2 linked regions of the Astyanax mexicanus genome follow. The protein of the gene in region 2 interacts with the protein of the main gene of each other region in a pairwise test. Links are inferred from orthologs where the notes say so. Each region holds a gene or a part of one and is shown on either strand. Other genes may lie near its edges.

Region 1 (3,750 bases), on a different chromosome or scaffold from region 2:
TTTAAGAAACAAAATGACACAGTTGGCCCATAAAGTTGGTCTTCTGGTTCTAACTTGGGTGTTGCCACATCATGAACCAGCCCCAACGCCTCCACAGCTCCCGCACTACCAATCTTATCTCGCCACCTTTAACGCCAATTGAGATATCGCCGAAAAACTGCAACCCATCTGTGTGAAATTAGAGTAACCACGATTTGAATCTGTGAGCGTAATTATCGTGCTTCAGGGCTGAGCCTGCGGACGGAAGCCTTTTATCCTGAGGTGAAATGACAGGCCGGTCGCGTGTTTACAAGCAAGCCGTAGCTGCCTGTTGGTGTTTACGTTCTCTAAAGTCGTGTCGCTCAATGCCCAGCGCTTGAGCCTCTGCTTAGCTGACAGGAGTGAATGAGCGCTCCAACTTGAATGACATGGCTCAGGAGATGACGGCTCAGTCAGTCATGGGCCTCCACCTCATATAAACAGTGGTAGTCTTCCAGTGGGCCATGTGGTCTCATGCTCCTGTGAAGCATGAGCCTCAATTTCAACACAGGAGTTGCAACAAAACTTCTTGTGAAGTCAGCAGCCCAGGGACTTGCCCAAACAGCAATTTGCGTTTGCAGAAAAAAAGCCTGCCAGCACCACACAACTCAACCTCAGCAGTGAATCCTGTTACACCTCTCTGTAATTTCAAGTCCAAGCAATACTTCAACATAGCTTTGTGACTGAATACCAATAGCCCAGACGGATTTAAACTGATTCATTGTTTTCTGTTTACAACCAACCAACACATGCCTGCTGTGTTTTATATGTGATGTGGATAATGGTAAAATACAGTAAATTCCAAAAAACACAACGCCCTGCATGAACCTGTCTGCTGCAATTGGGTAATCATATAATGTGTAAGCCCTCAACAAGTTTGGGGTTTCCATAACCATGGGATGCAAAAATGCAAGCTCTGATGTAGATGTTAATATGTAAGTAATTAAAAATGCAGTCTAAATCTGCCTTATTATAGAGTTCAAATGAAGGCTGGTTTATACTTATGTGCCGTCAAATCAATGCGTTGTGTATGGCACGTGGCTATGCTTTGGGTATGCATAGGCTACCTCACAGGTCGAAGCAGAAGTATAAATTAGCCTTTTAATAGCATTATTTAAATACCAGTCAAATCTACCTAAGCGAAGATCTGTTGATATTAATATAATCAAATCCAGGACCATCATACATCCTTGTTATGGCTGGAAAACTGACAATATTTTTCTTTTGCAGTATATACAGCTCTGAAAAAAATTACGATACCACCTCAGTTTCTCTGATATTGCAATTTGAGTAAAATGAACATGTTGTTTTATTTTATATACTATGGACAACATTTCTTGCAAATTTCAAATATAAATATTTTCATTTAGAGCATTTATTTGCAGAAAATGAAAAAAGATTTCAGACCTCAAATAACACAAAGAAAACAAGTTTTTAGAAGTGTTCAGAAATCGATATTGGGTGGAATAACCTTGGTTTTTAATCACAGTTTTCATGCATCTTGGCATGTTCTCCTCCACCAGTCTTGCACACTGCTTTTGGATAACTTTATGCCACTCCTGGTGCAAAAATTCAAGCAGTTCAGCTTGGTTTGATGGCTTGTGATCATAAGTTTTCCTCTTAATTACATTCCAGAGGCTTTCAGTTTGGTAAAATCAAAGAAACATTTTAAGCGGTCTTAGAGCTGTATATACTGCAAAACAACAACAATGTCAAACACAATGTCAGGTTTTTCCTGTTATATTGTGCAGCCATAATAGAGTATCTCACTATATATCACTAACTAGCATTGTGCAGACGTAGTGTACAGTAGCTTTGCACACATTTTTGTTTTAGTACTTATTTAACCTAGTTAACAGTGTTATCCCTTTACTCTTCTATATCTACTATTTATTACACAACTAGTGGCCACATGAAAGCACACGAGGAGCTCCTATAATGAGTTACTGAGTTATAACATAAATATAGATAGCAAGATGAGAAAGAGTACATTAATAAAGAAGAGACCAGCTGGATAACTAGATCAAGAGACAGGGGGGTTACCCACATCTGCAGTAGGTAACCTAGATAGGTTACCTAACTAAGTTAGTTAACTAGTACAACAAAGCTGCACGTGCTGCGCTGAATCCATCACATACACGCACACACACACACACACACACAGAGTGCACCCGGGCACAGTAGCTCCAGCCAGGTCATGCGTGTCAGGTTTGAACCCCCAGAGGAAGATGCTGCTCTTACTTTTCAGGGCTTGGATGAGCGCCTTGCCGTCCTTGATGAGCTCCTTGATGAACTTGTTGGTTTTATCCAGCTCCAGCTCGTGAGACTTGAGTCTGTCTCTGAACTGCGGGCTGTCCAGATAGCAGTCGCTGAACTCCAGAGCGGGCAGCCCCATGTTTCCTAAACACACACACAGCGCTTAAAAACGTTAAAAAAGCGTCCAGCGGAGCTTCTAGCTGCTGTCGAGCTGCTGCAGGGAGGCGAAAATCAGACGCGCCGGTGTAAAATCGCCCGTGTTAATCACATAGCTGGCCGCTCTGCTGCAGGAAGGCGGGCTGGGCTACCGGACTGCTTCCAAATAGATAAATAACTGTTAGATAGAGATAACCCTAACGTAAACTAACAACAAAAACAAAACAGCAAAAGAGACCGAACCACATCCCACTGTCTCACTCACTCCACTGGAGCCTGTGCTGTGTGTGTGTGTGTGTGTGGTTTAGGGAGAAGGAGGGGGAGGGAAAGAAAGGTGTGAAAATAAATAAATATAACGTTAACCCAGCTATCTACGTTATCTCCCGCGAGCCCTGCGAAACCTGTGCACCTCTAACGGCAACGTCACGCTGCTGCTCCCGAGGAGGAGGAGGGGGTGGAGGTGGGGGTGGAGGTGGAGGAGGAGGAGACGAAATCCTCGCCTGGGCGTTTTAAACAGCTCAACCCCAGCGGGCCAATCCCAAACCACCTTCACACGCACTACCAAGGGCACTACATAAACGCGTAACCCGCTATTCCTTGTTTAATCGAGGCCATTACGTAGGGAACACATAGCCGTTAGAGACGCGCCCTCCTCCCTCCCATTCCCCCCTTCCGACCTACCGCGAAACGGATAATCCGATGACTGACGGCCCTCTCAGCCTATAGCGTGCCGGGATTCCCGTGCTCAAATCCGATGGGCGCGACGACCACACTTAAACAAATGATTTGATTGGTCGAGAGACGTGACGTATCAACAGAGCGGGGTTTTCGCTTCTCGTTGAAAGGGAAGAGAGAAAACAAGGCCGTCAATTAAAACGGTTTTTTGGTATTTTTATGTGCATAAATAAAATAATGTAAGGTATGTAATTTAATTCATTTAATTAGTCGTTCTAACATGTTAATAAACGCAAAAAAACAAAGAAATATCTATAAAATCTGCAGATTCTTGTTATGCTGGAGAGGTAGGGGGGAAGTGTTACGGGCTATAGGACTCTTTAAAATTAGATTATTTTTCAGGAAAAAAACATAAAGTATTTTCCTTGCTAAAAATAACTATAAACACTATATTACCATTGTTTAATGTGTAGTTTTAATATTATGATTTATGAGAATTTTCTTTATAGCAAGAATTAAATAAATTGACAGTTGTTCATCTTAGTAGCTAGATAACAAACATTTCCATTCCACCTTAAATGGTGCAACAGACAGAAGAAGCTGCATTATTTAAGGTGGAAGGGAAAAATAGAAAAAAAAGAAAAA
Region 2 (3,750 bases):
AATCTTTGGGATGTGCTGGAGAAGGCTTTGTGCAGTGGTCAGACTCTATAATCATCAGTGTAAGATCTAAGTAAAAAATGAATGCAACACTAAAACTTGTGACATTGCAGAACCATGTGACGCAATTAAAGATAAAGGCAGCCCAACAAAATATTAGAGTGTTTGACCTTTTTTTTGGGCCAGACTGTACGTATGTTGTATCTTCATGAATTCAACTGCATAAACACAGCTTGTACAATAGCTTTAAAAGAAAGGTTCTTCTAAACCAAAATGTTTACCACACCTTAAGCCAAGGATTGGCTAGACACGTACAAGTCTACAAGTGTACTTAGCAAGTGGAACTAAATTGTACACTTGTGCAAGTGGTGGCAATCTGTCAAACTCTTCTGAGATGAGGTGACCAATCAGTACTGATGTTAGATAATTAGTTTTGCAGTTCTCCAACTCATCTCAAAAGTATTGGATGGAGCTCAAGAGATCACAGTTTCACTGCTTCACAGTGCAAAACTGGAGAGGCTTTATACCATGCTATCCAATGCTTGGTTTCAGCCATTAAAGCTTAGCTGAATGCAATCAAATTATCATAGCAAAGTTCCACTGTACAACCTTTCCAAAGGAGCAGAGGCTGTTCCTGCAGAAAAGGTGGGAAAAATCCCTGGTAATGTCCTAATGATTTCAGAGAACCATTACGTAAGCAGGGGTCTACACTGGCCTTTAAAGGCAGCTTGGGGAGAGGAAATGCACAACACAGTGGATATCTGTCATAATCCCTCTCCACATCTAATTTCCTGCACATTTATCATCAATCAAACACAACGAGCCTCCACCCAACTACAAGAAAACAACAGTGCAGTTTTTCCAAGGTAGTTAAAACGGAAATTACAAAAACATACTACATTTCACACTGAAGGACACAATTCACTTACAGAAAACTGTAGACTATAACTGTCAAACAGCAGTTTTAGTTAAATAGAGAAAAAAATTTTTTAAATAATAACCACCTTATTACAACTTTATTATTCGTATCTTCAAACTGCAACTTTAAGCTATACAGCTCTGGAAAAAATAAGAGAACAATTCAGTTTCTGAATCAGTTTCTATGATGTTGCTATTTATAGGTTTATGTTTGAGTAAAATTAACATTGTGAAAACAAGTTCAAATTCATTAAAGTTTTAAGAGTTCAGGAACCAATATTTGGTGGAATAACCATGATTGTTAATCACAGTTTTCATGCATCTTGGCATGTTCTCCTCCACCACTCTTACATACTGCTTTTGGTGCACTCCTGATGCATGAATTCAAGCAGTTTAGCTTGGTTCAATGGCTTGTGATCATCCATCTTCCTCTTGATTATATTCCAGAGGTTTTCAATTTGGGAAAATCAAAGAAGCTCATCATTTTTAAGTGGTCTCTTATTTTTTTCCAGAGCTGTATGTCCAGCACACTGGGAGTTAATGCTCTCTAAAGCAGGTGTTTGCTGCCAATGGGAGCTCAGTAAAAGCCTGTTCTCGAAACAAAAAGCTAACTAAAGCTGTTCTCTATTCAACGGTCAGCACACCCGCAAACAGACGCCAAACAGAGTTACCACGTGATTTTAATGCGGTTCAAATAATGGGTGAATGCGGTAAACCGCTTGGGTTAAAGTGTTCAATAGATATGCTATTCGATATTATGGGCTGTTATTGTTATAGGCTTTTATCCACACAGCTTTGCAACACAGTTAGTTACCGCTGGTCTACTTTCTGAGGTAAACAGAAGATTCTCTATTTTAATATTCCTCACAGTTTTTTTCCACAAACTGCGATTAACACGGACAGGCATTTAAAGCTTTTAAACCTTTTTTTATAGAGCTGGCTCAATATCTCTCAGACAAACAGAACTACTTGTCTGAATGTATTTAATTTAGTTTTACTTTGGCTAACTGTTTTTCTAAATACTCATTTTTAACACGCATTTTACCACAGAAAAAAATATGTTAATTTTTTTAACTGTTTAATGTGTTTTAACTACTTTTACATAGCTAACACAGTAAAATTCAGTATTTTCACTACATTTTTGAAGTATTGATAATACATTTAAAACCAATTTTTAATCAAATCAGCTATGCTAATTTTTCTTAAAAAAAAAAACGATTTGTCTATATTCTTTTAAACTAAGATGTGAAATTGGTCCCACAAACAGAAACCCACAGTTAAACCCACCAGTTAAATTGAAGCCAAATATAAGTGCTGTGTTTTTATTTTTTGAGCTTACCTTTAAGTTCAGTTTCTCACTCAGTTTAAATCCTTTTTATAGAGGTGTTCGTCCTCCCTGAAGAGAGAAATAAGTCCTTGTACTGAACAGGCAGGGAAAGCCTCCTGTCTCCAGGTGCTCTCCAGTCATGAACTGACTCAGTGCAGCGCGAGCTCGTGGTTACTCAGCCTGGCCCCGTGACTCCGCCCTCGGGGGGCGTGGTTGAGTAACCGCGGGTCTGCGAGGGGAGCCCGAGCATCTCCGACTCGTTTCATGGCTAAAAAAGCCAGAATACCCCCTGAACGACCCCCACCGTGTCTGCACCGTCAGTACTCTCTCTCCCGCTTCACGGAAATAACCTCTTCATCCGATACACTGAGCTCTGTTTGCTGATACTGTGAAACCAGAAACGCCCTCCAGAGCACTTTCTCTCTCTCTCTCTCACTCTCTCTCTCTCAACCTTCTCTCTCTCTCTCTGTCCCACTCTCAATCTCCACTCTTTCACTCTCTCTCTCCTCTCTTTCACCCTTTTCTCTCTCTCCTCTTCTTCTTCTCAATCACCCTTTTCTCTCTCATCCTTTTATCTCTCTCTCCTCTCTCTCTCTCACCCTTCTCTCCCTCTCACCCTTCTCTCTCTGTCTCTGACCCTTTTCTCTCTCACCCTTCTCTCTCTCCTCTCTCTCACACCCTTCTCTCTCTCTTACTCACCCTTTCCCTCTCACCCTTCTCTCCCTCTCTCACCCTTCTCTCTCTCTCTCTCTCTCTCTCTCCCCCTTCTCTCTCTGTGCCTCTCACCATTCTCTCTCTCTCTATCTCTCTCCCCCTTCCCTCTCTTTCCTCATTCACCCTTTTCTCTCTCTCGCCCTTCTCTCTCCTCCCTCTCACCCTTCTCTCTCTCCCCCTTCCCTCTCTCTTCCTCTCTCTCTATCTCTCACCCACTTCCCTCTTTCTTAATCTCTCTCTCTCTCTCATTCTCTCTCACAAGTAGTTCTAAATACATACAGTAAAGCCTATTATTAGAATGTAATGAATTTCACACATTTTTCAGTCATTCAGAGTAGTTTGGTGTGAAATCGATTATTATAGAGGTTTCTTACAGTGGTAGTGATAAGGTAAGATAATCCTGTAATAATCAAACAGCATTCACTTTTTTTTACATTATTACAGTTTTGTAACTTAGAGGACAGAACAGAAGTGTCAGAAAATGTACAAACGATATACAAAATAGATATATACAAAGGTACAAGAATATAGAATAAACCACTACTCAGTATGTATGGGTTAGGATACCATATAAACACCACACATTGAAACTAAGAGAAATCAAAATTTTTAAAAAGGGTTGAGTTTGCTAAAATGCCACACTTTTTGGCAAATGAGGTCTAAAAAATATATATTTTATATATTACCAATGATATTTGCATGGGTCTCAAACAATTATTTGTTTAGAAAATGTGAAAAAGTAAAATTGTTTTGGAAGTATGAAAACATTAGTAGGTTCCTTTCTGAATTGGCAT

What was found.
Region 1: the proteins of cdc42ep2 (region 2) and rho GTPase-activating protein 26 interact in binary tests that used the Homo sapiens proteins (3 or more experiments, as listed by UniProt). The two-hybrid records come from large-scale screens. The link is inferred for Astyanax mexicanus from reciprocal best matches to the Homo sapiens genes CDC42EP2 and ARHGAP26.

The regions. Positions count from the first base shown.
Region 1 is NC_064424.1:20,704,600-20,708,349, reverse strand, and holds the start of rho GTPase-activating protein 26, read right to left. Parts: upstream 2,881-3,750; 5' UTR 2,414-2,880; coding exon 2,260-2,413; intron 1-2,259. UniProt on the Homo sapiens protein: GTPase-activating protein for RHOA and CDC42. Facilitates mitochondrial quality control by promoting Parkin-mediated recruitment of autophagosomes to damaged mitochondria.
Region 2 is NC_064408.1:32,557,263-32,561,012, reverse strand, and holds the start of cdc42ep2 (cdc42 effector protein 2), read right to left. Parts: upstream 2,569-3,750; 5' UTR 2,255-2,568; intron 1-2,254. UniProt on the Homo sapiens protein: Probably involved in the organization of the actin cytoskeleton. May act downstream of CDC42 to induce actin filament assembly leading to cell shape changes. Induces pseudopodia formation in fibroblasts in a CDC42-dependent manner.